4 linked regions of the Neodiprion lecontei genome follow. The protein of the gene in region 4 purifies or fractionates together with the protein of the main gene of each other region. This does not show direct contact. Links are inferred from orthologs where the notes say so. Each region holds a gene or a part of one and is shown on either strand. Other genes may lie near its edges. The genes, in order: vesicle-trafficking protein SEC22b, synaptobrevin homolog YKT6, BET1-like protein and syntaxin-5.

The links.
Region 1: the proteins of syntaxin-5 (region 4) and vesicle-trafficking protein SEC22b purify together in Homo sapiens (co-immunoprecipitation; 4 studies listed by BioGRID and IntAct, counting the BioPlex papers as one, with this or other methods). This does not show direct contact. The link is inferred for Neodiprion lecontei from reciprocal best matches to the Homo sapiens genes STX5 and SEC22B.
Region 2: the proteins of syntaxin-5 (region 4) and synaptobrevin homolog YKT6 purify together in Homo sapiens (affinity purification with mass spectrometry; 3 studies listed by BioGRID and IntAct, with this or other methods). This does not show direct contact. The link is inferred for Neodiprion lecontei from reciprocal best matches to the Homo sapiens genes STX5 and YKT6.
Region 3: the proteins of syntaxin-5 (region 4) and BET1-like protein purify together in Homo sapiens (affinity purification with mass spectrometry; 3 studies listed by BioGRID and IntAct, with this or other methods). This does not show direct contact. The link is inferred for Neodiprion lecontei from reciprocal best matches to the Homo sapiens genes STX5 and BET1.

The regions. Positions count from the first base shown.
Region 1 is NC_060262.1:28,173,612-28,180,996, forward strand, and holds the start of vesicle-trafficking protein SEC22b, read left to right. Parts: upstream 1-2,587; 5' UTR 2,588-2,700; intron 2,701-2,783; 5' UTR 2,784-2,955; coding exon 2,956-3,030; intron 3,031-3,506; coding exon 3,507-3,616; intron 3,617-3,790; coding exon 3,791-3,951; intron 3,952-4,043; coding exon 4,044-4,190; intron 4,191-4,301; coding exon 4,302-4,450; 3' UTR 4,451-4,457; exon of another isoform or gene 4,458-5,687; coding exon of another isoform or gene 5,688-5,878; intron 5,879-6,185; coding exon of another isoform or gene 6,186-6,310; intron 6,311-6,395; coding exon of another isoform or gene 6,396-6,596; intron 6,597-6,687; coding exon of another isoform or gene 6,688-6,866; intron 6,867-7,036; coding exon of another isoform or gene 7,037-7,128; intron 7,129-7,215; coding exon of another isoform or gene 7,216-7,385. Other genes in the region: uncharacterized protein LOC107223481, read right to left, coding at 1-1,170, 1,257-1,262; box C/D snoRNA protein 1, read right to left, coding at 5,688-5,878, 6,186-6,310, 6,396-6,596, 6,688-6,866, 7,037-7,128, 7,216-7,385. UniProt on the Homo sapiens protein: SNARE involved in targeting and fusion of ER-derived transport vesicles with the Golgi complex as well as Golgi-derived retrograde transport vesicles with the ER.
Region 2 is NC_060263.1:35,805,826-35,813,175, forward strand, and holds synaptobrevin homolog YKT6, read right to left. Parts: upstream 4,801-7,350; 5' UTR 4,365-4,800; intron 4,228-4,364; 5' UTR 4,034-4,227; intron 3,950-4,033; 5' UTR 3,928-3,949; coding exon 3,738-3,927; intron 3,462-3,737; coding exon 3,190-3,461; intron 2,656-3,189; coding exon 2,515-2,655; 3' UTR 1,721-2,514; downstream 1-1,720. Other genes in the region: NADH dehydrogenase [ubiquinone] 1 alpha subcomplex subunit 10, mitochondrial, read left to right, coding at 1-629, 810-1,202, 1,337-1,447; inhibitor of growth protein 5, read left to right, coding at 5,244-5,280, 5,824-6,276, 6,493-6,671, 6,803-6,904. UniProt on the Homo sapiens protein: Vesicular soluble NSF attachment protein receptor (v-SNARE) mediating vesicle docking and fusion to a specific acceptor cellular compartment. Functions in endoplasmic reticulum to Golgi transport; as part of a SNARE complex composed of GOSR1, GOSR2 and STX5.
Region 3 is NC_060264.1:34,542,122-34,548,227, reverse strand, and holds BET1-like protein, read left to right. Parts: upstream 1-2,774; 5' UTR 2,775-2,885; intron 2,886-3,158; exon of another isoform or gene 3,159-3,314; intron 3,315-3,453; exon of another isoform or gene 3,454-3,464; 5' UTR 3,465-3,547; coding exon 3,548-3,566; intron 3,567-3,646; coding exon 3,647-3,810; intron 3,811-3,927; coding exon 3,928-4,083; 3' UTR 4,084-4,507; coding exon of another isoform or gene 4,508-4,601; 3' UTR 4,602-4,675; coding exon of another isoform or gene 4,676-4,788; 3' UTR 4,789-4,791; downstream 4,792-6,106. Other genes in the region: translin, read left to right, coding at 699-770, 900-999, 1,103-1,318, 1,402-1,481, 1,562-1,798; THUMP domain-containing protein 3, read left to right, coding at 4,508-4,601, 4,676-4,788, 4,880-5,357, 5,452-5,630, 5,714-6,104. UniProt on the Homo sapiens protein: Required for vesicular transport from the ER to the Golgi complex. Functions as a SNARE involved in the docking process of ER-derived vesicles with the cis-Golgi membrane.
Region 4 is NC_060262.1:35,647,117-35,656,119, reverse strand, and holds syntaxin-5, read right to left. Parts: upstream 5,871-9,003; 5' UTR 5,725-5,870; coding exon 5,355-5,724; intron 5,084-5,354; coding exon 4,827-5,083; intron 4,509-4,826; coding exon 4,308-4,508; intron 4,237-4,307; coding exon 4,115-4,236; intron 4,032-4,114; coding exon 3,872-4,031; 3' UTR 1,050-3,871; downstream 1-1,049. Other genes in the region: zinc finger protein 502, read left to right, coding at 6,345-6,512, 6,779-8,341, 8,499-9,003. UniProt on the Homo sapiens protein: Mediates endoplasmic reticulum to Golgi transport.

The sequences.
Region 1 (7,385 bases), about 7.5 Mb from region 4:
ATTGAGTATTGATGGAGTGGATTGTGTGCCTACTGGTTCTTCAGCAGGAACAGGTGGCTGAAACATTGGCTGTTGCCACTGATTCATAACCGTAGTTCCCATATTCTGATGCAGAATAGGCTGTGTTGCTTCATTTGAAGTATTGCGTGAATAATTTGAGGGCCATTGATTAGTCAAATTACTCTGTTGATGTTGTTGACTGTTCCAGTTAGTATAGTATTCGGATTGTCCTGGCGAAGTATATTCCTTAGGTGGATCAAACGTTTGAGAAGTCTGTTGCCCCTGTTGAGACTGATTAATATTTTCTATGGGCTGTTGCTTGTTTGCTACCAATGATGGTTCTTGCCAGGACCCACTGACTGACGCGGCATTATGATTTTGCCAGTTACGAAGCGAAGGATCCAACTGTTGGTCGCTATTGTTCCAATTGTAGGTATTTGTTTGAGGAGGAAGTGGAGGAGTCTGTATTTTTTTGATGTTATCCAGCTGAGCACCTGAATTATTACCAAGGGACGGTAAATTTGGTGTCTGTTGACTGCTGATAGACCATTGCGAATGATCAGCAGGACTTGACTTAGAATTAGGCCTAGGTGGTAAATGATATTGTTGTTGCTGTTGCTGTTGTGGTGGCTGATTATATTCGTAAGACGTGTATTGATTATAACCATCTTTATTACTTGGTGTAGATTCTCTGCTTAGACTCGTCCGTGGAATATTACCACCAGAAGTAGGCTGTTGATTAAGTACATTGGGTCTACTATTTCTGTTAAAATTCGGATAATACATTCCCTGCTGTGGATTCTGTATACTTTGACTATTATTGGTGCGGCCAGAAGGAAATTGATGATGCTGAGAAAGCTGATGTAGAGACTCTGACTTTTGATCAGTGTTTGAATTCCACGAATCACTATTGCCATTATTACCGTTATCGGTACCCCAATCCCAGGGATCATGAGATTGCTGTTGTGGCTGGTGCTGTTGCTGCTGCTGCTGCTGCTGCTGCTGAGGTTGAATCAGAGAATTGGGCTGTTGCTGATAAACATTCGCTGGCAAAATTCCTGATCGTCTCTCAGGCTGCATAGAACTCCAAGTGTTTTGACTCTGAGATCCATACCCTGACACTGCGGCATGATCCACCCTAGCTCTAGCTGGTCTCGCACGATATGGATTCTGGAAAATAATTTAGAATTAATTTCGTTCCAGTTGTTATGTTACATTGTAGGATGGTTCAGTGCGATAAACCATGTGTTACTTACGTTCATATTACTTCTGCTCCAACACCACACTTATCGTAAGCTTGATATTTAAAACCTGAACAAAAAACAGAAGATATTGACAATAGGTGTACATAAACCACTGGTAAATTTTTGGAGTTTCTGCAGCAAATAATTAGGCCGTTAGCAAGCTAAATGAAAAATAACTGCGGCATCGTCAAATAATTTAAAATAACAGCATTTAAGGATGCACAGGTGCAAGTCTAAGCCTTCTTTTTTCGTTCATTCAAAACCACTGTATTCTTAATCACTCGATGATATTACAAAAATAATATTGCTATTCATCATGACGATCAAGAATGAGTTCATTGAATTCCAATCTTGACCAGTTGTAGTATAGTATTATTTATGAGAAATGTCAAGTGTTTTGTTGAAGAGTAAAAATGGGTGACAGGATATCCTGTCCATAATTAGCTTATCAATTTATTTAAACTAATTGGAAGAGACGTCAAGGTCCTTGGTAAAGATAAGAAAAACAACGAGTATAGACATGCGATGATACATCCCAAGAAAAGGTTCGTTTGCAGTGACAACACTTTAAACTTTGAAAGATTTATAAATCCTTCCATACATCAAACTTGTTCTTGATGAAGTTTCAAATATATGCAGAATCAAAAGAATTGAGTCTTAAAGCCGCAACTTGTGAGTGAAGAATCTGTTTCAATACTAATGTAAACGGTCGCATAATTACATAACAAGAAACACAATGTAAATTTCAATGATTTTCACACGAAGTAGCGAATGCCTGTCGGGAAATTACAGGTGATATGGACCTCGGAAGCCAGAAAATACCTTCCCAGCTGTGATATTACCAACTCGTTGTGACGATACCAAACTATCGTATTATTTTCTCAAGTCATTTACTCACCTAGTTAACGTTCTGGCAGCTAGCGCTATCACACATTGTCACGAACACCTGAGTAATAAATGAATTTACGATAAATTTAGCACATTTTCACATCCATAACATGCTAAGAAAACTGTTGTACAAACACGAGCATTTGACGGTGGAAAATCTGGGTTAAGCACGTCACAAACTTCTTCCGTTCACTGGCGTTAAGGTGGAATACCTCGGTCACAATTGTCAGGGTGTTGAGCACAATTCTCCGACAGATAGCGGTAAAAGGTGTCACGGTTCTCAACCCGCCGTATTTCCTTTGAATTAAATTTAAAAAATACCTACTTCTGACGCGAATCAGTAACTCGCGGGCTTTTTAATACCGAACCAACGATTCTACACGCAAAATTTGTCACGCCGACAATTTTATTGCGTTATTAATAGTGCCTGGTTATCCGGTATGCAAAAGACTCACCGATGAGTTGACAACCACGATTTTGGTGCGTCGAGTAAGCCGGCTGTTAAATTCACATCTTTTTTCACAAGAATATTGCATTACAAGTTTTGCGGAACTTGGATAAATCTGAGGTTTCGTAATTTATTATAACAGTTTTTAGCGCTCAATTGTCAACAATAATTCGTTATATTAACCTTCGGTAAACAATTTACAGTAAGTCAACGACGCGCATGCAGCGACTGACGTGGTAAATTCTAAATGGAGTTTTCCGATGTCGGCCACATCAGTTACCAGCGCTGTACAAATGGGCTTTTGGAGGTTCAATGAGTAGACGGACTGCTGTTTTTATCTGAATAAATCTGGATATTCCATAAATTCCAATAAAAATGGTGTTATTAACCATGATCGCGAGGTTAGCCGACGGCCTGCCGCTAGCCGCTACAATGCGGGACGATGAACAGGTTAGATTGCTGTTAAAAACGACTGTTATGATGAAATGTCACTTTCTCATTAATTTCCATATTTATTGCCAAATCGTCCTGTCTTGTTCTCAAAATTCTATCCATATAATGGCCAAGCGCTCGCCCTTTAGTGAATAAAAATTTTAATTATTGATACATTACTCTTTGTAATTATTATCAAGAATCCGTAGTTCATTCATGACTTGTTGCAATCATTTAGTTTAATACAATTTTATCACTCGTTTTTGCTCCTATTCCTAGAACAATATGCTGATCCAATTCAGTAAGCACACGTCTTTTCTCTTATTCATTTTCGCAGAGTTTCAAAGCTCTTTCTTTACTCCGTTCAACGCATTCTTACTAAATCACGTATTGTGCATTGAACCTTGATCATCTTGATTCCGTATCCAAATGTTCAAATTAATATCAATATCGTAGCAATGTTGATTATAAAAAATTTAATGTTTTACTTACAGAGTGGCAGAAGTATTCTGGAATATCAGAATCAAGCCAAAATGTTATTCAGGAAACTTGGGCCACAATCGCCATTGAGATGCACGATAGAAACTGGACCATATTTATTTCAGTAAGAACGATCATGTTATCTTACTACGTCATTTTGTTATTCTTTTTCTATTATATTTAATGTATGCATGAATTATAAAAAACAATAATACACATTGTTTAAAGCTGTAAGTTAATAATTTCAAATGTATGTGAATGTGAAGGAAGTTGAAAATTTTTTGGTTTCCTATTACAGTTACCTTATCGAAAAAGAAGCTTGTTACTTGGTATTGTGTGAACGAAATTACAGTAAACGTGTAGCTTACAGCTATCTTGAAGATATTGCACAAGAGTTTGATGCACAATATGGTAAAAAGATCAACACCGTCACTAGACCTTACAGTTTCATTGAATTTGGTAAGAGAACTTTTACTTTTAGACTTGCTTCGGTTAGTCAAAGCTCATATATTCAAGGCATGTTTTTTTCATATAAATCATTGCCTTTGCAGACACGTATATTCAAAAGGCAAAAAAGGCTTTCTCAGATAATCGGTCCAGGAGAAATATGAGCGCTCTGAACAACCAATTACACGATGTTACAAGAATCATGGTTCAAAATATCGATGATGTTCTTTCGAGAGGAGCTATGCTTTCAGGTAATTTCTATGGTTATTCTGAACATTGTCAACCGACATTTCAACACAACTCCGATTATAGGCATTGCATGCTGACTTGTAATTGTTCTGATAAATATCTTCATTTTCCAGAATTAGATACCAAAACGCAGAACTTGTCAATGTTGTCACAAAAGTACAGAAAGGATGCCACGCATTTGAACAGCAAATCAATGTACATAAAGGCAGTTGCAGGGATAGTTGCATTCCTCGTCTTCCTACTGTACTTTTTCATCCTATAATTGATGAGTATGAATTTTTATTGTGTTATTGATTTAAATGGAATCGATAAATTCTTCACCTATGAGAGGGCGTGCGTGCGAAATATTTTGACCATTGTGTATTGTGGAGAATGTCTTTTTGTTTCACATTCAGTGAAACTGAAATATTATATATTTATGTATACTGACTTCAAGCGTAAAATACGACGTTTAGTTGATATAAAGAATTTGAACGGCATGATATATGCAGAGTAGAGCCTCGATTGTGTCCATGATGAGTTTCCAGTCTTATTTCTGTATAATCGGAAGGTGTGATTTAGTTAGGCAACAAATTGTTTTTCATTTTTAATTCTCAAACAAAGCTTTGAACTTCTATGAGTAGAGATACAATAGTTTTATATTAATCTACGATTCAATCATTTAAATTTCTCAATGTATAAAAATTGAAACAAAAATCGGAAAACTGCAATGCAATAGGAATATCATAGGCATTATTGCGTACTAAGAGCTCTTTGAAAAGTTACACGAACAGATGTTTCTGTTATTATGTAATGTTACTTGCTTACAGCAAAACTACTTCTGTAAAGATCTATACTGCTACAGGTTTTCGCACGGGCGATTGAATATAGAATTCTATTCTTCATGTGATGTAACACTTTCAAAATGATTTTCATTCGATGGATATTCGTGTTTAAATATAAGCATACGTATTTTGCTTCAACTTCCGAATACACGAATCAAATTTATTTTTAATTCCATCAAAGTGAGTAAACCTAATCTGTTTTTTATGGGAATTTGACATATTATGCATAGCCAATCCCATTGAAAACTCTTAGGAAATTATGTATTATTTACGTGGTATAAAGTATTGTTGGGGAAAACATACATAAAAAATAGCTCTCATTGTTGAAAGAGACATAGGGTCTATGGAAATTGTGTAATATAGTAGCCTGTATTCATGATTAATAATATTATTATTGTATTTGTATCAAATTCGGTTACACTGTTCTAGTGAACGTTCTATTTACAATAAAAGCTTGAATTTCTACCAAATATTTGGTCATGCATGGAAATGCATAAAAGTAACTCAGATGAAGCGTTTCAATCTATTACTTCTTACCTATAATTTCACGGAAATGTTTTGCACATAATTCAACGGTTTTAATTAGAATTGATTAGTTGAAGTTATTATTTTCAGAAGCTGTGCATACTTGAATACCCCAAGTTATCTCAGCGATATGATAACCTTCTAACGATTTTATAAATTTGAGTACATTTTATTTTTTGAAACCATTTCCATACTTTCATTTTCTGAATCTGTTAGATCATTGTCAAAGAAAAAGTTTACTGGAACTCCTTCATTCTTCTTTTTAACTCTCTGATTATTTGTATGTTTTCTTTTGAGGTTTCCTCTTGTTTGTTCAGCCTCTGTTGACGCCTCTTCTTCATCTGTTGATATTCAGTGCAATGCAATATAGAGTTCAAATATGGTGGTATAAATTGTTCAAGCTACGAAATATGAAGTTGAAGCTAATAGCCAAAAGTGTTAAACTCTTTGAAAATAGTCAAATGCAGCTCAGTTTTACGCTCATAATTCTATAAAAGTATTGAGGATTCGAGGTATTTCACAAAATTTTTATTTGGACTTCACTACCTTATTCAAATGAACATTAAAACGGTTGGCTGCTAATTCTGACTGCTAGTTTCAGCCTCGTCTGCCAAATTGACACCTTTACTTTTGAATAATACCACTCACCAGTGTCTACAATCTCGTACATATCTGAATGATCTTTCAGTATCACATAGAAAACAGGAAATTCTATGATAGTTTTATTCTCCAGATTTTCGTTCAGTGTTTCAGTAAGGTTCAGCTCGTGAAATCTGATAAAAATAAATGTGTCAATTGATATTCGAAGACGATAAAGTGTCAGTCCGATAATCTTTCTATAATCAGAGCAAAACAAACCTTGAATCACATCTCTTCACTTTCTCAGCTTTTAGAAGGACTTTGATATTGCTAAAACCAGCTGCTCGGTAATACTGTAATTTTTCTCTGTACGCTATCTTCAAATTTATTACTTCGATACTCTCACTACCTTCGGTTTCTATTGTCAAAGGATCTAAAACTCTACCTAGTATCGTAGACAATCTCTCAGTTTCCAGGACACTGAAAGATTGAAGTAAACATTGCGTTCTAAATCACAAAATTAGCGTTTATCTAGAAACAATTCTGGATAATGTATTAAATTACACTTTACCGATTATCATTATGCTTCATATTCTCTGCTTGCGGAAAAATCCATTCAATCCTCCAAAACAATTCATTTGTTTTCCATTTATAATATGTTGTATTGATTTTATGTCTGCTAAAGTTTTGAGGTAAAAATTCCAATTTTGTATTCCTGTGATGGACAGCTGTCTTTAACTTATGCAAATGCTGCAATATTAAGGTAGTGGGATTAGGTACAAAATATTTTGAATCGTTGATTGTGAAATCAAATCTGTTGCAAACATGAAAGTTTCATTGGCAAAAACTGTGTTCACTGAATCTTACTCTCGACTGAAACTAAATATACATCATCAATAATTGACTTGCGTTAAACTCACCACTGGCAGATTACCTAGTCTTGTATACTTCTTGGAAGGATCTCTCTGAAATGAATCTACAGATCTACCGACCTCTTCAAGCAATCGATAATCTATCAAATAATATTAACATAAGTGTAAATGCACTGGCATCCAGTACAACTTCAGAAAAATAGTATGATGAGCGTTAATTTACTCACCGCTCAATACGTCGAGATCTGTGAATGCTTTCAGAGGTACGAATTTAGTCTTGTCGCGTATTCCATCACAATCCAATTCTTTCTTGTGTATCTTTACGCAGTCCAGACAGCATGTTCTAACCTCACATTTAGGACACGTGTACTTCGCACTCCTTCCTCCACAGACTTCG
Region 2 (7,350 bases), on a different chromosome or scaffold from region 4:
CCAAAATACAAGTGGCATTCATCTCAGGAAAAGCAATGCGGGTGGTCGAAAGAAAGAGGCCACCTCCGTTTCCGTATGAGACGAAGAGGTACAGTCGTTGGAATCAGCTATTTGACAAAACTGTACACAGAATGGATGATAATTCCAAAATCGTTATTGTCGAAGGGCCAATTGCCTCTGGCAAGACAGAATTTGCTGAAGCATTGGCCAAGGATTTGGACATGCACTATATGCCAGCAGTGACAATGGACATGCATTATATAAACTCATATGGCTTCGATATGCGGCAATTGGACGACAAGCTGCCAGAATCTTGTAGATCTTATGACGTCAAGAACTTCTGTAAAGATCCGCACCACATGAACTGTGCCAATTATCAGCTCCAAATGTATTATTATAGGTTTTTCCAATACGTTGACGCCTTAGCACACCTTTTCTCAACTGGAGAAGGTGTTGTTTTGGAGCGATGTGTCTACTCTGATGCCATTTTTATGGAGTCAATGTGCAATGCTGGCTATGTTAGCAAACTTGCGCAACGGACTTACCAAGACCTCACACAGCTCACTTTGCGTGAACTCCGCCTGCCGCATTTAGTTATCTATTTGGATGTTCCTGTACCTGTAGTCAAGGTTCTTTGTTGTTGTGGTTCTTTTTTTTCCATCTTGTCTTTACTGAAAATACCCAAACACAATTCAGATTTTCTGCAGGAACTTGAGCTGTATTTTTCATTCATTTTCAATTCTCTTAAAATTTTACTAGGTCCTACAATTAATTACATAGCTTATCAACCATTTTACAAATTATTTTAGGAAAAGATTCAAAAGAGGGGGATACCCTACGAAGTTGAATCCAAGGTTTTCACGGAGCAGTACCTGACTGATATTGAAAATCTTTATAAACAGCAGTATTTGAAACAGATGTCAGAACATGCTCATATTCTCATTTATGACTGGTCAGAGGGTGGCGACCCTGAGGTTGTCATTGAGGACATCGAGAGATTGAACTTTGACGCTGATGACCGAGACGATCTCAAATTCAGGGACTGGCAATTCTGGGATGCTAACGATTGGAGTGATACAAGGCGCATTTATGCTGATGAAGTATTATCATTCAAAGTGCTATTTAACTTAGGGGAAGTCAATGCACCAGAGCTCATTGTATCAGGAGCTGATCATCTCGCATATCAAAAGGTTTGGGAAAATGTAAGTATTTCAGTCTGATCTACAGATTCAACCGATTAGTTATTGATTAAAAAAAAGTAACTTCTGTAAAAATGTCACTACATTTTTCGAAAATATTTTCTTACATATGTTTATATCTTTGTTTTTGTAACTAGGCACCTGGTAACAAGTATATGAAAGGCTTCAATAAAGATATGGGAGATACGGGATTACTGTGGAAAGGGCGCCCTACTATTCGGGAATACAGAATGCCGTTTTTTTCGTAAACTAGGTGCTGCTAAAAACATAAGAAAAAATTCACAAATCGGCAGAAGTGATTACATTGTAGTGCACCGAATTGAAGTTGTCCTGGTAGACTTGTACAAACCGACAAATTACAATAAATAACATTCTATGTAATTCATACTTATGGTCAATTACTTACATTTCACGTTCCTTGGCACTGAGAGTAGATAAACATCACGTTTAGAGGAAAAAATTGGAGTGGTATTTTTTAAATTTAGACATGATATATTGAAATACTTTTTAAATACATAAATACGTACACATATTTTTTTGTTTCATCCATAATTGAACTCTTATCCAATGCCGAAACTGCATAACGGAATAACAAGTTACATTCCATTTGCAATAAGAATAACATATCAACGACAAAGAAGACGTTTAATAGACATTGGGTTACATAGATTTTGTGAAATTTCTGTTTATGTGTCTTAAAAGGAAAGGATATTAAAGTCTGTATGTATACAATCCAATTAAAATTAACCCCACTTTTTGATTAAACTGAAGTAACTTGAGTTGAATACTGAACTCTGTGACATTCTTTATGATGCTAGACAACACTGATTACTCTCGAATACAATCTGATGACGTCTTGAAAAATTATCCCTTTGCAATCAAGACACATAAAATTCAGTCACTCGTATTTCAACATTGATGGATAATATGTTGCATTAAAGCATATTGTTCATTAACATATATTAAGGATAACATTACTTACTTAGGCCTCTTTAAAAACATCCATACCTTCGGCTGCGCAATATTTAAATCAATCTTGCTCAATAGAAAATATACAAGTGAAATCTATTGGTAAGACAAACCACCTTTTGCAATCGGAGGTAAAATCCATTCAAAAATTAAAAAATTGTACATTCACAGGTAATTAATTATACCGAGGAGGCAAAATCATCTGAACAATAAACTGTTGCGGCAGGCAAAAGTTATCAATTAGCTTTCAAATTTCAAACATTACTCAACATTCTTTTCTTGACAAACCTATCTTCACATTTGTAACACAATAATATGAACACAATGGAATCATGGTATACCGTGTTTAAGCCGTCAAGCTGCAACAGGAATTGGTTTTCCGTGCTGTTTTGTAAAATGCTTTTGACTGCATGCTAAGGCCTTCTGATTTTGACACCAAATCGTCCAATTTTTCGCCCCTTTCTAAAACTGCTTCTATTGTATTATGCTGTAAGAAAAATGAATTACTGTATTCATAGAAATAGACACTTGTGATTCTTTATAGTATCTTATCTGCATCAGTTACATAATCTTTCAATACACAATAACTATCTGAAAACTAACAACAGCACATAAATGAATGCCACTGTTTACATCTCAGAAAATGAATTGGAAGCATTGCTTGCTAGACAGAGAGTGCAGTACATAAGAAAAACCTCTAGGATTGGAAAGAAAAATAGATAATGACACTACTTTGTTTGGAACATGTATTTTTTAATATTAATGCAATGATGCGACTTGAAAATTCTCTGAAATTTAGTAAGTAACAATAATAAAATAAAAAACATTATTTTTTGGCAAATTCGTCTTCTTCAAAGTCATTCTAAAGTTAAAAAACAGAGATTTTTTATAAATGATTTGTAAGAGTACTAATGTTACGAATTTCAAACTCATTTGTCCAATTATATTTCATAAACGACCAAACCGACGAGCTGAAACTGGATAACTAAGAAACTCAGTTTAAGAAAATCTTCAAACTCACCAAAATGATCTTGGTTTCATCAAGGTCATTCTGCATTTTTGTAAATGCATCTGCTTCCCGGGGATTTTGATATTTCGCCAAGTACGTATTCACTTGTGGAAATATTGTTGTCGCTTCATTTAAAGTGGCACATGTACTGGGTGGGTACTGGGCAGCAAATTCATCTAGTACTTTTGTGATCAACGTGTGCGAAACTCTGCTAGGATACTCATGATCGGAGATTAGAACGCCAGCTAAATTATCCGCTCTCACATAAACGTGACACATATACTCTGAAAGAACAGAGAAAATATGTGAACTTAGTGAGACAATCGGTAGCAACCTGAAAATAGATAATATAGAAAAAAAACAGACAATAAGCACGCACGGAGCAAAAATTAACTGAAATGAAACGGCTGTTTCAAGGTCTTTAGAAATGTTGTTAATATTAAGCAAGCAATGGTTTGTTTTTAAAAGTAGTTTCTACACCGAAACCAATGTCATTCATAATAGTTGCAGATCACGATGAAATGATATTTTATAAAGTACAGAGACTGGAAAATAAATACCTTTTTCCTTGACGCTTTGTCTGGCTGCAATTTGAGTTCTTTCAGTAATCGTTTTACTGACAAATGCCATAAATTCCTGAGCACTACTGCGTTGAAAAAACGAAAAAGATCCAAGTTCATAAGCTGATTTGATCGTTGTTGCTGTAGTTGGGCCTTTGTATAGGATGGTTAAAGCGTACAATTTGACCATTTTCGACTGTAACAAAAACAAGCTATTTGCATTGCAGTTTTTTTCTAAAAGATTATCGTTTTTCACATATCGTACACATTAACATTTGATGTAGATAATTGCTTACCTAGTGAACTCGGCTAGCCGGGAGTTCAGGAAAGAAGACTAAGAAGATACAACCGACGTAAGCCTAGGAAAATTTCGGCTCCAACTAGAACTTGACCTCCTTTCGTTACCTAGTTTTCAACTCTCACCGCCGGTAGAATCTTGTTGTCAGTCGCACTGCCAGTGTGGCAATGATCATTATTTGATTTTTCTTTCCTACAAGAATATCAAAAAATTGGACTCATTCAGCGCGATACTATGTGAAAGTAAAACAAAGTGATATGAAGTGAAATTAAGATAAGGGCAGTCGGAATTGTGTCACACAATATTTGAGAGAATTTTCTGCTTTTTACCTCCGTTAATGAAATCCTGATTCAGAGGGTAGATCCGCGGAAAAATGAACTAAAATTGTTGTTTTTGGCTCCGCCCTCCTCGGTTAAAGGCAAATGTCAAATCGCGTACCTTACCACTTACAAGCTTGCTGCGACTACTAACAGCACTGACACATCACCCACTAGAACTGCGCGTCGCAGACGGCGGGCGACGTCCGACGACACGCATACACGTAACACGGGTATGTCCGTCGCAGGGCTTGGGAAGGGGATTGTAGGGGGGATTGCAGACGGAGGTCGGCGACACGACGTTTGTTTTAAGATCGTTCAAATCAAGTTCAAATCATTCAAATTTTCACTATGATGAAGTGACGATCTCGAGTTGTATTCCGTTTGGAGAAGTAATTTTAATCAATAAGATTTAATTGAAATTATTTTACATGATAAGGATGCCCACTTTTCTTCCACACCGTCACAATTCAGCAATTCAGCGGTAACCGATGCACACTGTGCATACATATGTTATCCATATAGTTAGTCGTAACGTGCGAATGACTCAGAGTGTGTCGCCACCTCCGCTGTGTTGTGTAAACTCCCCCGCAGGCTTGTCCGAATAAAGTGTGAATAAAATCGGCCGACTGAATTATGCACACACAGTGACACTGGTCAGTTTTGTGTACGTATGTGCCAATTAGAAGGAATTCAATTTCCACCCATATACAAAAGTGAGAGAATGGAGTAGGTGTAACGATTTCAACTTTATTACTAGTGATGTGAAGTCAATAATAACAGTGTGTGGTATAATAATCGGTTCCACTATACCCTGCACAAGCAAACTTCGAGTAATTAAAAAAAAAAAACGCAAGCCCGGGGTTTCTACCGCGGTGTCTACCCTGCGAAATGACGTCCGCATTGTACTTGGAACATTACCTGGACAGTAAGTAAACTTTTATTTATGGTTGTTTAACAAGAAGAATATCGCTTGTTGTAACCACGGTCAGGTAGAATCAAACTAGACCTCTCAATATGAGGTCCCTTGAAGTTTACTTCATTAATCAGTTACATTCTTTAGCCTACCGTCAATGAACTTAACCTATCAATAAGCTAACCAACATGGGATGTCAATGAGTCGGTGTTGAAGTTAATATTTTTCAGGAAACAAATTGATGTTCAGAAGAGATATTTATGTGAGATGCTAGGACATCTGTGCCAAAATATAACGTTATTATCTTTTTTGTTATGTGAAAGTTACGTGAAGTATATTCTAAGTGCTTACACCAATAAAAACTCGTAGTTTTCCTAAATAGTTGCATCTCACATAACCATAACTTCTGATGAAAAAATTGAATTTTTTCAAGCGGGAAATTTCTTTATTCCTCTGCAAATGAAAACTATCATGTTGTAAAATATTAACATTTCATTAGAAATTGCGGGAAAACCTTACCAGTTTGAAATTCAGTCATTTTCCAACACTTTTCAGGTTTAGATAATCTACCGATTGAACTACAACGAAATTTCACATTGATGCGTGATCTGGATGCACGTGCGCAGGGGCTGATGAAAGATCTAGACAAGCTGGCTGATGAATATTTGAGAAATGTGAAAACGCTTTCGGCGGATAAGAAAAAAGAACAGTTAAATCACATCCAAAGTCTTTTCAACAAAGCTAAAGAATATGGGGACGATAAGGTTCAATTGGCTATACAGACCTACGAGCTGGTTGACAAACACATTAGAAGACTCGATTCAGACCTTGCTAGATTTGAAGCAGAAATTCAAGACAAGGCATTGAATACAAATAGAGTCCAGGAAGATAGTGCTGTTAGTAAAAAAGGCAGGAAGAAACTCAAAGAGAAAGAAAAACGAAAGAAAGGAAGTGCTGGAGCTAGTAGCGAAGACGAATCAAAGATTGCGCGCAAAAAGCAGAAAAAAGGTGTGACTAATGTTTTTTCTATCAATGCCTATGTTTACTCCTGTAGTATTGTGTAACAACTAGTTTAAATATCTTTTGATATTCAGATTTTGATCCTTCCTGTTGAATGAAAATCAAGATTATACTTTTTTTCAAATACCTTATTGTAATTGAAGATTAGTGATTTGTGAAGTTTTTCTCATTGAAACACAAAATTTAAATAAATGAATTTCTTAGGTGGATCCGTTACTTCAACTGCTGCTTCTGGGGCAGTTGGAAGTGGTGCTCAGGCAGACACCAGTGCGTTGGGACACCCAGCTGATGTCCTGGACATGCCAGTGGATCCAAATGAGCCGACATATTGTCTTTGCCATCAAGTATCTTACGGAGAAATGATTGGTTGTGATAATCCAGATGTAAGTTTGTATTTCATCATTATCAAAAGTCAATAAGCTTCCAGTTGTATCACGTAATGTTCCCATTATGATTACATCTACTGCACTAATCAACTTCTAAATATTAACGTATACTTCTGCTGTTATTTCAGTGTCCGATCGAATGGTTCCACTTTGCCTGTGTTGGCTTGACAACTAAACCGAAAGGGAAGTGGTACTGTCCAAAATGCACACAAGATCGAAAGAAAAAGTGAAAAATGATGGACTGAAGTATCTAATTTTCTTACTTTTACTGAAATCCCCCCTCCCCCCTTTTTTTTTGCAAACTAATTTTAAAATCTATTTATTGGCTGTCGGCATTCCCGATTAAGCATAAAACAAAAGGGGGGATTGAAGACACCCGGCAAAGTTATATTGAAAAATCATCGAACCTATATTTCGAAGCTGAAATAAAATTTCAGCTTCGATGTGAGAAGCACTGGTAGCTTATCACAGCGGCAAGGCTTGAGAATTGGCCACTCTTTTTAATTTTTTTTATTTTTATTTTTTATCTGTCCAATGGTAGTAATTTATTAATGATTGTTGTTTTAGGAAAATTATACAACTTTTTATACTTTTATGCCCTTTTCCCTCATACCAACCCATCGGCCAGTTTTTGAATCACTGTGATTTGGTACTTGGAGCATACATTTAAAAATTA
Region 3 (6,106 bases), on a different chromosome or scaffold from region 4:
AGTACTTGGATGGTGGGAAATCTGAAAAATTAAAACACAGAATCGAGCCCCTAGTCGTTGTCAAGTAATTCGAAACACAATTCACTTTGCATCTAGTGACAAATATTCGAAATGTGCTGGAATTGGCTGCACTGAATGTTCACAACCGATTCCAGCGACATTCAATCAACGACGGAGTTCACGTCAAGTACTACTATCAATATTACATACATCCCGTATGTGTGTCATCTCATATATATGTAATATTGCAATGGCAAATTGACAGTCAACCGCACGGTCTTAAATACATAGGTATACACAGTAGAGATCAGTGCGTACAGGTCTGGGAACTCACTCAAAATTTCACTGGTGGGGTGTCCTTTTATTGAAGCACGGGCCGTTTTTCCTAGTGACCACGAGTGTCGCTGCTATCGAGGGATTCAGGCTATGTGAGAGAGACGGAAACAGATTTCAAAACCGCGGACGGTCAACAACCTGTTTCCATCTCTTTCGCACAGCCTGAATCCCTCGGTAGCAACGACACTCGTGGTCACTAGGCGGAACAACCAGTGCTTCAATAAGAGGACATACCCCCATCGCCAGAGTTCCCAGACCTGTATGTAAAATCGTGGTCAACCGGCGTTCGGATAACTTTGTGACAAACACGATAGAGTTCATACGGCTAATCGTAAACGTAGATACAAATCCCACACGTCAGGATGTCGACCAACGTAACGTCGATTTTTAACTCGTTCCAAGATTACCTCAACACGGAACAAGAACTCCGTGAGGTACGTGTTTATAGACAATAATAATACGTGGTGTAAAAATATAATTAATTCAACGAATACAGTAAACAATTCGACACAAAATGACAACAATGTCAATTAACCTTTACACGGTTTTCTTGATTCATTCAGGAAATCCGAACTATCGTCAAAGAGATTGAACAAAGTGCAAGAGAAATCCTGATGGTACTTCAAAATATTCACAATGAGAATGTGTCCGAGGAAAATACTAGTATGATTGTAAATTTTGTAATTCTATTACCATCTTATTTTTTGTTTGCTAGATTTACTTATTATTTACTGTATATCAATTTATTTATTGTTTGCTTACTCAGTAGTGTCGGAACACTGTACTAAGGCAAGGTGTCTATTTGAGGATGTACGAAAGGGTTATGCCAAACTAGCCGCTGTTGTTCCTGAGAATCAATACTACCGATTTCATGAACATTGGCGTTTTGTCACGCAACGTTTATGCTTCCTGGCTTCTCTCACTATATATCTAGAAGTCAAAATTCTTGTGCACAAAGACACGGTTGCAGAACTATTGGGAGGTACGTTGACGATGACAGTATTACCAACTTATTATCTAAAGCCTGAATCCATAATTAGTTGTGTAATCTCTCTATAATTTAAGTAAAGAGCAATCGAGAGGAAGGATTTCACTTGGATCTTGAAGATTTTTTGATGGGACTTCTGCAGCTATCTTCAGAATTGGTATTCACGAAAAATCATTATTATTTGTGAAAATCGTTCACCCATAACTGCAGTACATTATTTATAAATATTTTTTCTAGTGCCGCTTTGCAGTCAACAGCGTAACGAGTGGAGACTATGATCGACCAATAGAAATATCCAGGTTTGTGAATGAATTGAACGCTGGATTCCGACTCCTCAATCTGAAGAATGACTCTCTTCGTAAACGGTTTGACGCCCTGAAATACGATGTTAAAAAGATCGAGGAAGTCGTTTACGACCTCAGCATTCGAGGACTGAAACCTGCTGTACCGCCTGCTCCAGTAGATTCGAAATAGAAAGGCAATTCTACTACCACAATACATTAACTATTACTCACGATACCAAGTGAGAAGCTGCGCCAGCATAGGTTTTGCAGTGAGGTTAAACATGTGGACATAATTCAACTTGATTTTGACAATCTTCTCGAAGATTATTGCGACGAGGTGCGACAGTGCCTAGTTTTTGTAATGCTTGATACCAGTTCGTAATAAAAATGACCATAGTTATACTATATGCAGTTATTTTATTTCCAACAACTAAGTCATTGATTCATTGCACATTCTTTATTGCTCAGATTAACAGGTCGATTAGTATCCCCTCGTTTTATTTAAGATACTTGGCATTATTTTCGGTGAAGAATTGCGCTATACCGTGCGATCGCATTACTTCAGAAATATGCGGCTGGATTGTAACCTGTAGGAAAAGACAAAATTAAGAACCGATGGTGTTCGATGGTTTCGTGCGTGGTCAAACGGTGTACATGACATCGCAAATATCGATGGTCTGATACATGGAGCCTAGAGTAAATGGTCTGATAGGAAAATAAAAAACATGCTCTTTACCTCTCTTCTCGTTTGATGACGAAAAAAAATCGTGAATATTTTTTGCCGTTTTCTGCTCGAGAATACGCTGTATTTTTATTAATACGAGTACCAAACTTCAAATCGATTCATCTATTACAGTTCGAGTTATCGTGTACACTGTTTTGAAAAACCTAGGTTTAAGTAAAATTGTTTAATATTTTTCTGAGTATAAAAATTTAATTAAGATGTATCTTACTGTTAATCTACCATTTCTACCTCGTATTGCATTTAAATCTTAACCGTTCAAACTATTATGAATATTCGAGGGAAAAAACTCTTCAATATTGATAACTTCACTCGTTAAACAACTCGTTGTGGAGAAAACGGAGGCAAACGAAATTTACTTGTACACGTGTGGACGCGAATCCTGAAACAGCCTATTTTTTCCCTAGTGGATTACGTTGGCAATGGAGAATTTCACAATCAACCCGTAGCAAGAATACGTTTGAGGTTTTCAAACATGGAGACTACACTTGTTCAAAGCAATGTATAAATAATTCTGAATTACCATGCTTAAACGGTAGTGTATATTCGTTGATAAATAAGTGACAATATTTAATACCAGTCAAAATAATATTTTCTGTAAGATCGTACCGATAATGAAGCTAAAGCGTAACATTCGACTAAATGGGGCAGCCCTACGCGAAAAATAGGCATTTAGTACTACATTAGCAATTATAATAGGTATTTCTCATTCGGTCAGACTAATGAGAGGCCATAATGTCAGGTTGAAAAGATTGAATCAGCGTAGCCATAAGCAGGCCGTAAGACGTAACCAACCAGCGATTTCGATAGCATTCTTACTGTTTGTTCAAATGCCGACGATCACAACTCGTTTCTTGTTGTGACACGTCACCGAGTGACAATCGGGTCCCGAGAGAACGAAACGGACACGTCATTTGCAATGTTTGCGAAATTTATACGTTCAATTTTGTAGCAAACGAAAAAGGTAACGAATAAAAACTTGATTGCACAGCTTGAGGTGGTTTTTATTTTTTATGTCTTTCGCCTGACATCCGCCCAAGTAGAAAATAAGCGCAAATTATTATCGAATTTTGGGGTTATGTCGAGATCTCAAGTAAGTTTAGTTGTGTTTCAGTGTTTTGTTCCAGGAAAATGAGGAGAACGCACGGGACAACTAGTCACAGATAGTCCTCGGAACATTTCAAAATTGATTCAAAAATGAGGCGGTCGCATTCGGGTTAGTCGGATGTGCTGAAAATAAATAAACAAATCTTGTCTGTCAAGTTAAAACTAAAGGTATTTTCTTCCCGTTTTCAGGGGGGTATGCTTATGGGCCGTTGCCAAGCACCTCTCACGATGCTCTGGAGGAAGAGAACGAACGGATAGCCGATGAACTGAAGGACAAAATAAGCCTCCTGAAGGCAGTGTCCATTGATATTGGTACCGAGGTTAAATACCAGGAAAAAATGTTGAATGGAATGGTTAGTAAGGAGGCTAATTAAACAGAATGCGGAAAATCAAACTGACAGAATTCAGTGTGACCAATTACTGAAATTAGAGTTTGTCTTACAATTATGTTTATTCAAATTTTGTTTCAGGACGAAGATTTTGAGAGGACGAGTGGCTCCCTGACTTCCTCTGTGTCTAGAGTATTGCGTATGGCGAGGGCAGGACATAATTATTACATCATTTACCTTTTCCTTTTTTCAATTGCTGTATTTATTGTGTTATGGCTTGTTCTTAAATTTAAATAATTTCTATAAGGTGTAGAGACACGCTCCAACTTTTTTGCGCATTCTTAGTCTACCCATTGACTGAAGAATATAATTTTAGTTATGAAAGAATATATATTCTTCAGTCAACGTTCCACCGTATGAATGACATGTTATTGGTGAATGGTATTTCTAATTCTACATGTTATGTGTAATAGAATAATTACTTGAATCATTCAAATGTAAAATACAAAGAACGTTTATTTTCAAAATTTCGTTATTATGAAAGGCCTAAACTTAGAATTGGAATGTCAATCTGTTGAGTATTTGAAATTTTGATGTTCGAACGTTTTTTTTTTTTCTTTTATGGCGGGTCATAGTTCCGCCTTTTTGATACAGACTCCATATACTTACACGTCGAAAATCGGCATCGTGACTTCGACTTGTTTATCAGTGCGATTTAACGATGACGGATATCAACGAATCTGACTTGTACAAGCTATTTAAGAAATCTGAAGAAGCTGAAAGCGTCTATACAATCGGAACTACCGTAGACACAGGTACAACACATAATAATACACGTGTTACTGCGTTTGTTTTGTTTCTTTAAACATAACCTAAACGTGTGATACAGGTTTGGAATGGCAGGCGGTTGACGAATGCAAAGAGAAGGTGGATACGACTTTACACGTTGTCAAGGAGCGTGGAAAAATCTATTTTAACATACGTCTGGACCAATTTTCAAAAGTACTATTGCCAATATTATCATGATGCCGGTATTCGATCATCGTTTGTACAAATTTTCTTTTTGCTCCTATTAAAAAAAAAAAAAAAACAGGTAAAAGAAATGAGATCGATTGACAATATTTTTCTGGTATCCGATGTCCGTCAATTCAACTTCTCAGAAGATGATGGCGAGACTGATTTGACGTTGCTAAAAAATGCAATAGAGAAAGATCTCAGGCTAGAAAAGGGTTTGGAAGCATGGAAAGCAATGACTGGCTTTCGTGGCAAACTTTACCCTAAACAAGAAGAATTTAAAGATGCGGATAAACTGCTCAAAGCTGAAAAAAATCAGCCCCCGGAAGATGCAGTTGTAGGGGATGTCAGGAAGGGAAGAAAACGGGGTAGAGATCCGTCCCTATCCAGTGAAGAAGACATCCTCAAGTACAGAGTGACTTGCGAAAGAACAGGTTCTCATGCCTTTGAATCTGGTCAAGTTGCGAGAGTAATCGGGGGAGAATTACAAGATAAATATTTCTGGCTAGTCGACTTGACCATGTACCATCTGGAAGTCATTTGCAATCTAGTTCAGAGTGGGTTTCCTCAGCACAGTTAAAATGTGAAATACATATTGAGGTTCATCCTTCAATAATTGAAGTTTTTTGATCTGCTTACTCACATTTACAGATGAGCTGGCAACCTGTCTTCGCATAACTCATGAGTCCAAACATCGCCGTAATATTATTCACTTTGGCCCAACTACGCTGCGAGCTACTGTGTGTTATAGTTTATTACGACTTGCGAACCCAAAGCCAGGGGATATCATAATCGATCCAATGTGTGGCGGAGGCTCCATACCGATCGAGGTAGAACGATTACCCTTGAATAGATTTGACAAAAAAACACAGCTATTTTTCAATATTTTTAATATGCCTTTACAATTTGATAGGCAGCAATCGCTTTCCCAGATACATACGTTTTGTGTGGAGATAATCATGAGAAAGCTGTTGCTAGAACAAAGTTAAATATCGATGCTCAATCTATCAATCATAAGACAGAGCTGATCACATGGAGTGTCGCCAAATTACCGCTGAAAGATTCTTATGTTGACATTGTGGTAACTGACATGGTAGGCATATCATTGCTTATATGCCAATACAACATATGTCTTTTGCTATTGTTCGTTGTTATTAATTTTTCAGCCATTCGGAAAGCGAAGTGGTTCAATGACAGACAACAGAGTGCTTTACAAAAGATACATTACAGAGTTGGCTCGTGTTGCAAAACTAGGTACAGGACGTCTGGTTCTACTGACTTACGATCGTCGCAGTATTCAAATGGC
Region 4 (9,003 bases):
TCTAGGTAATCGCTCGACAAAGTGAACGACGCTTGGAAGAATCGAAGGCTGAAGCCAGCCAATTACGAAATCGACTGACCCTGGTGGAGAAAAGTATAAATGAAGTAGATGCTGATTCAAAATTACATCGTAAGTATATTATTTCTGATGTGAATATTTTTTTCTAGTGGTAATGTTACTTTTCCATCAAATCTTTTACTTAATATTCTGACAACACTTGGATATTTTATACTCTTACATTACGAGGCGAAACCCTTTGTATTGACAGTTTTACAAATACTTCCGTGATACTAGTTTATCAAATGGTGACCTTCTAATGTAATATTTTGAAACCTGACATCGAAAAGCCTTAAGTCTAATCTAAAAAGTCTTTGAAATATTAGTGACCAACAGATGAAATATTTTGCTAGGTAGTATTTACTTTTATTGAGAATTCAGCTTTTTTCAAATGTATTTGAAAGTCATATAAAAAATTTAAATTTGTGAAATATTGAATATAGTTCCTTCTTAATTTGGAACTATTATAACTAGTAACAAGCATCAGGATCAGGTAAAAGTTGATCGTATTTTATAATGTAAAAGCTTGTCACTGATACACAGGGTACAGCTACATATTATGTTTATTTAATGAAAACTCCCACGCAGGCATGGAGACGAATGGAGAGACAGCATCATCCCCTCAATTATTTTTGGGAGCAGAGACATCAAGTTCTCCTATATTGTTTACTGGTTCCTCAGGTATTCCTCCCCCTATACCCCCATTCCCACCGTACCCTCCGTATCCCGTTATACCGGGACCGCCACATTCTGGAGGGGGACCAATGTACGATATTAGTAGGAGGCCTCCACCATTAGGAGGACGTCTGTCTTCACCACCCCCAATACCTCTTCCTCATCCACCTGGTAGATACGAAGATGCCAGTTCTCCACCACCACCGCTTTCACCTCCGTTACATCCCTCTTACAACCATCGATCACCGCCACCATTTAGCAACGAACATGCCCATATGTATCATCATGGTCCGCCTCCTCCATTTTTGCCACCTTTGGGAACTTTGCATTCATGGGGGGATGATATATTACCACCCACACGAAATCCGGTTTTCCATCCCCATCAACGTGAGCAGCGTGTACGGAATCACAAAGGTTTGTTTCAAAAATCGCATAAAAGCTTTCACACAAAATACTCACATCACCTCACCTCCGGCTTTAGGGAAACTGGAATGATTCTTATTTCCGTCATGTTGTAATCGGTTGGATTTTTATATTTGTGCACGCAAGGACGCAAGCGCTTCTCTAAAGTAAGGCAGTTTTGGAGTACAATGGAAGGAAATAATTCAAAATAGAATCTGTGGCAGGTTTATTTTAGATCTTTACTTTATGTACTTTTTTTCTAGCAGTTGGTAATTGTGTAATCCAGTTATTGAGCAGAATATATTTATTCATATAGCACCACGTCATAGAGTAGAATGCTCAATTACACGTCTTTATCATCGATCTTCAGTTGTGAAACATTAACTACTTTACACATATTGAATCAGTACTATTTTAACATTACAGCTTTTCTTTGTACACTAATGGCACTTACTTATTTAATTTTTCTGTTTTTTTATTGGCTTTGTGTTTATATGTATACGTATTAGTGGTTAATTGTAAAGCCAACTGCTTACACTTGTCCTAAGGACCACGCATAGCACTTAATGCAAGGCACAGACTCACCTTAGTTTGCTTAACCATCCCATTTCATAATTGGTTTTCAGTAGAGTCAATGTTTAAAAATGTTGCCTGAACGGAAAAATCAAAGCATTTGTCAAGTAGAATCAATTTTTGACACTTGGTTAAGCTTTCTTGCTTGCAGACTGTTATTTGAAATTCCAAAACATAACGCACTAACTTGATTACTTGATTCACCAGATCCATACCATCACTAATACGCTACCAAGCAAATTAGAATCAAATATATTATATATACGCATGTGCATCTGAATTATTGTTTATGTATAAATTGTTATTTTATTTGTAGGTTCGTTACATTCTTCTGGAGACTCCCTGGACAAATCAAATCATACTGGAAAAGCCTAAGCCTTTTGTCTTATCTGGAACCAGAAATACGTTTAATATTTCATTCCATAGATTTCTTCCCGTTTAATAAAATGATGCTACTTCAAATTTGAATTATGCATTATCAATACTTTGAAGAACTTATCCGTAATTTGGATGTGGCTATGTTCGAAAATTTTCGTCTGAGTATGATGAAATTCGACTGTAGCAAATTCGTACTTGCTAATGTGTAGATACCAAATCACTTCATGTAAGAGTTTTTGTGGAAATACTAAATAGCTTACACTACATGGTTTCAGAAAATGTTATAGTCGAACGTTTCAAAGGAAAGCAGGTATACATATTTATATATATGCGTAGAGATATGAACATTTGTATAAAAATAAAATGTGATTATTGAAATCATGTTGAAAAAAATTTGTAATATTTAGTATAACAATCACACTGTAAAATGTATATTTATGATTTTAAAGAATCAAAATAAATTGTAATTTATTATTATTCGCGAGTTATGGCTTCGAATTTGACTGAAATCCGGGACAATTATGCTCATAAAACGATCATTTATTAAATGCATTTTTTAAATTTACCGTCAATATTTTACAAATTAACATGTGGATTTAATTTGCCTAGTCGAGTTTAAATCTATAAAAAATAATTTCGTGAAAGTTACTGTTACATCTCTATAAAACTTCAATCTTGATCGTCTATTGTCAGAAAAACAAGTTTGTCAATTCCAAGTTTGAGTAAAATAAGTAATAGCTGCTGAGTGAAATTACTACAGTACTGAGGAATGTCATAAAGTGCGTTAACTTTATACATAATGTAGTATTTTAATTTTATTTTTCTATCAACCTTTGCCTAAACAACTTTATACTTTATACAAATATAACCAGCCTATTCATTCGCGTAAACCACAATTTAGTGATACAATAGTATAAGTTGCCAATATCAGAATTGCAGTTACGCAGTTTGCGAAATGATGGCCCACTTCATTCCTTACATTGATATTGTAAAAGCCAAGATCGATTGTGTTGACGTATGAAATTGTACTGCCACTCCTTTAGAATATACATATAAGGCACCCAGCTAGGCAAGAATAGATACTATTTTGTGTGTAATATTTTGTTGCGATTAACTGTTGCTACTTGTTATATCCATAATGGGACACATGACTCGCAAGTAATCGTATACGAATTGTGGTTAAGTGTCAAGGGCAGTCTTATGACTATACCAGTTCACACAATTGATCAAGGCCTCAATAACTTGTATTTCACTGTACACAATGATTAGGTGGAGATGCATAAAAATTCAATTGATGGATTGGCCGTGTTAAGCGACATTGATTCAAAATTAATGTAGATAAATCGATATTGCGAAAATATTTCAGCATTAGAAGCTCGAATATTCTTACTAGGTGATTACGGTAAAACTTTAATATTAGCAACTAAACCGTACAAATATAGTTTTTCTAAGATAATACAATTCAATTAACTATCATGTGATTATTTAATTGAATATTGTCGTAATTATCACTATGTACGGTATAGTTTGATAATATACATATGAATGCAAATACTCTGTTATATTTATAAAATATTAAAAATAGCTAATTTCCCGTAAACGGAACAGTTGTGAATATACAATTTCGATGCTTATGGTACAATATCCACACTGAACCTACTTTATAAAAAAAAAGTTATTCCCGCGTCAGTTAAACAGATATTTTTTTTAATAAGTTCTTAATACAAGTAAATGGTCAAATAATATACATAATTATAATAGTATATCGTTTTGACGGATTTTTGCCCTATGCTACAAAGACAACGAAGAATATAAAGAAGAATATAAGAACAGCAAAAATTTTTATCATCAGCCACCGATTGTTCGTGACTGATTGGAAGTATTTTAAAATTTCACCATGCGCAGCCTCTACGTTTAACTCGGTATCTTGTATGTTGCTGTCTATCCTGAAATTGAACAAACAAAATATCGTAAGATTACAATAATGAAAAATTTGTAGGAATAATGTTCAACTCTAGCGCTATCATACCTTTCAACCATTTCTTCCTGTTCTTTGACCATGTGAGCCAGTTGTTGAAAGATTCCTCCAAGTTCAACAATTGTAGATTCAATATTCTGCATAGCATCTGATCTCGACTGTACATAAGTATCCTGACGAACAAATTCAATTTGAGTATGTCTGTTATTCTAATTACTGATAAGAAGCTCAATTGATTACTCACTGTTTCGTCGTAGAGGACTGCTTGACGCTGCATTACTTGCTGTCCCATTGCGGGTTCCAAGTCGATGCTAACAGAGGAAGAATTTGCTTGTTCTTGAAGAAGCAAGGAACCTTGACGCCCTGATACTGCACTAGGAGGTAACGACGAAGATACCGATCCTTGTGTAAACTGTTCCCTTCGGCATTGTTGTTGTTTCAAGTTCTACACAAGTTTGTTTCAAGTTAGTGGAAAACTATTATTATGTTTTCATGTATACATGGCTGGTAGTTATTGAATTATATCAGTAAAATCAGAATGTAATATTTCAACTACACAAATGTAATAAGCAGAAATGATAGGAGGCTCAAATGAATTTTATATTCAAAGTTACAGCATAGAATAAAAAAAAAAGAAGATAAACCATTAAACTAAGAAGTTGAAATAATCAGAGTTTGGACATCCATAATCTAGATATGAAGTTTTATCCATTTGTTTGAAACTATGAAGTCTATAACGGCATTTATAACATGTTATACTTACTTCTGTCCTCACTTCAAGAACGTTTTTGAAGTGATTAGACATGTTGGCTAATTTTGATTGCAGAGCGACGACTACAGAAGAGGAGTGAGAGGCAAGGTGATGGCCACGTGTCGTCCCAAGACTCTCCCGCTGTTGTCTACCTACTTCTTGCAATTTTGCTATTTGCTGATTCAAACTATTCAAATCCCCTTTTATGATGTAAGTCAATTCTTGGATTTCTGATGGTCTATCGTCAAACAACGATTTCTTCTTTGCCACTACAATAACAAGAAACATCATGGACGTTGTAGACGAATATTGAATTATTTTTAAACCTTACAACATACAAGGAAAAATTCATTGAAACAAATTTCAGTTTCTTCTTTGCAGTAAAATTCTTAAACTCGTGTCATTTCATTTAAATTTTCAATAACTGTTTGCAGCTACTTAAAATTTCAAGGATAGCTAGGATTTAGAAGATTGTTTTCATTCGTGTGAAAAGTGAAAGTAACAAATATACCAATGAATATTAATTGAACATCATCTTACGCAACGCAAGTTTTTCCAGTTTGGTATAAGTGCTAGCGATATTCTTTCCAATATTCTTAGCAATCATCATAAAATTGGAATAACTCTGTATTTGACGAGCCTGTCTAGGATCTCTCATAACAGCGGCTCGCGCCACTGTCCTTCCCTGCATCGTGCGAATCGCATTCGCAAACTCTTTGGTCCTGTCTCGCGAAGTCATTGTCACTAAGTTAGCTTCTTGCTGTTTATTGTTGATATCTAATTGTTGAGAAACAACTCTATCATTGTAGTATTGATGTCCAAAATCACGATTTTGATATGCACTGTTGGAGGTTGTGATCATTGGATCAATTTCGTGTTCGGAGCCACCTCGTCGTCTACGCGCTGGCATTGCATCCTCAACTTTCAACAAATATACTATGTATTATCACAGGCAACACTTCACGCGATTAACTACGTCAAGTATAATATAATATAATTTTCACCCAACAGATTGGAAATTGCTGAACCACATGACAGCTCACAGCTTTGAGCCACGGGCAATGTTCACGCTCATTAAAGATGATACGCGTTAGCCTGTCACATCAGGCTATCTTACTTTTAATTCCACGGCTTGAGGAGACTAGGATGTTTTGGTGTTCCCAAAGCAACAGTGTCGTACTGTCGCGGCTGAAATCAGCATGTATATTACACGTTATGATACGTTACTTAAGTCGCGTGTAACATACATAGCTTAATGACGACTTACCCGGATAGCTCATGATTTGCAGTGTTTATTTTTATAATCGTTACTTCAACTGTTTGGAGCTGCTCGATACTGTTCTACAAGTCTTATGGTTTCATCTCTTTCTTTTAACCCAAATGAGAGAAAGACAGGAAAAATTAGAATCCTTTTCGTTCGAAAGATTTTCGAACACATCCACCGGTCTACCTTACTAAGCGCTACGTCACTTAAAGTAAAATCAAGCAAATGGCGCAGCAAGACGGGGCTCAGCGGAGTATTTCTTCGTGATGGAAATGGAAGTGGAAAAAATAGAAACAGCCGAATGTGTTTCGCAAGTTCAGTTAGCTTCTATCCAGGAGTGTCGTATTTGTTTAAAAAATTGCAACCAGTTTTGGGAATTATTCCAAAATGATGAGGATATTCCAAGAAAAATCATGGCGTTTGCAGCTATACAGGTTAGTTTTTGGGCATTTTCAACCGTATCATCACTGTTATATTACGATCATCAACATGTTTTATTTTTCCAATTCATATTTGCCGTCAGAACTAATTTTCGATCAGTTGGTAACAATAAACGTCGCTTATTCAACCACCCAGACTGCATTTGAAATATAAACAATTCTTTGTATTTTGTTTGTTACACTACTACTATCATTACTTCACACTCCTTAACAATTCAATTTACAAATTATTGGCAATGTATTTTTAAACATTTTTACAGGTAGAACACGGCGACGGTCTCCCAAGTGTTATTTGTTTTTCATGTCGTCAGCTATTGGATATGTCTTATGATTTCAAATGTCAGGTTGAAAAATCTGATGCTGCTTTACGTAAAATATTGCTATCGAATGTAAAAGTAAACGGAGATGCAGCTAAGGAGTTATTATCACAATCGATCAATGATGTTATCACGGAAGCCATTGCTGACGAAATTCCTAATCAGCAAACAGGAATAAAGGAATTGGAAATGCAGAGTGTATCAAAATCACAAGCTGCACAAGAGATGAAGCGTGTAGTATTGACTAATTTTGATGATAAACAAAGTACAGTAGCTTTTGAAATCAGTGAGGAGTGCATGAGTGGTAACGAGTCTTCACAAGAGGAGGAAATGCAGGACAAAAGCCTGAGCGATGAATCAATTGATAAGCAAATAGAGAAAGATGACGATTTCAGCCAGCGGGAGATAATATCTGCTTTGGAGAGTACAGAGATATTGCTGGATGACCAGGGTGTTACAGTAGGTAAATTAATTGATTCGACAGATCAAAATATTGAACCAGAACCCATTAAACAAGAGGATATGCCATTGTCAGAGGAATGTGAATTGTTAGAAGGAGAGAGGAACAATCAGGATGAAATTATTTTTCATGATGATCTCAAGTTTGAATTAAAAAATAGTTTACTTTCTGAAGGGGAAGACGAAGCTGATGTTTCGTCTGAATCGGGTAAATTAAAACCCAACAATTGTCAAATTTTTAATGAAGAAATGAATGATAGTGACGAAGAGAAACCATTGATCACGAGAACCAGCAGACGAAAATGTCCTCACTGTATCAAGAGCTTTGCCACAAATCTAGCTTTGCAACGACACATGACCATTCACAAGCACAAAACTAAATTGAGATATGTTTGCTACTTGTGTGACAAACAATTTTCTACTGTTGCAAAGTTGAAGAATCATGTGTCAGATAATCATGATTCTTTGAAAAATGATAACAGAGTTGATATTGATAATAACTGTGGTGCAATAGATACTGATAGAAAAGGGGAAAAGTTAGAGAAAGACATTGACATTTCGATATACAAACAGAAAACAGATAAAAAAAATTATAAAATGAAATGCAAAGTCTGTGCGAAACAGTTCACCTATCAAAAATCATTTCTTTCCCACATTAAGACTCACCCTGAATATGAAAAATGTGAAAATTCAGATAATCATTCCATGCCGCTGACAACGATAGAAGAATCGCTGGAGCATCAAACTGATTCGTCTCATTCCAAAATAAACGAATCCGACGACGACGATTTACCTCTCGAAGGTCTACAGTGCACTCAATGTGGTAAACTTTTTGCAACAAAAGGAAACCTGAAAAGGCATATATCAACCCACAGTGGTCTTAGATTCAATTGTTCAACATGTGGAAAGGAATTCTCTAGATTAGATAAACTCAAAGATCATGAGCAGTCCAAACACAAAGCAGAAATATTTGGGGCATCTGATGATGAAGATGAGGATACAGATAACGAAAGTAGACCAAATGAAGGTGCCGAATCCAAAAGGAAGGTGAGATATTCTTTGCATTTAGTATTGCGAATTCATAAATTTTAGTTGTCCGATAGTTTTTACAATTTTGCAAAAGTTAAACTCGTTGATTCAAATTTTATTCAATTATATGAATCTTGTCTATATTTGAAAAATAACTGACTGATTGATTTGATAGGAAAAAAAGTGCAGACCTCATCAATGCGCTATGTGTCCAAAGGCATTTGCGCAGGCGCAATCATTGGCCAACCATATGGAACGACACAAACGCATCAAAGAGCCGCAAAAACGTTTCCTTTGTGAAGTATGCAGTAAGTGCTTTGCACAAAGTGGATCGCTAGTAGCCCATATGAGAACTCATACAGGAATTAAGCCATACGTTTGCAATGTTTGCAGTAGAGCATTTACAAAGAGTACATATTTGCAGTTGCATCTCCGCACACATAGTGGTGAAAAACCATACATATGTCAGTATTGCAGTAGAGCATTTGCTAGAGCTAATACGTTAGCTAGACATATAACGATGCATACAGGAGAAGCGAAATATCATTGTCAAATATGCATGAAATCATTTAGACGATTGACTTCCCTAAATGAACATACTTATACTCATACTGGCCAGAGACCATATGCATGTAAAATATGTTCTAAGCGCTATAATAATGCTGGCTCTTTATATGCTC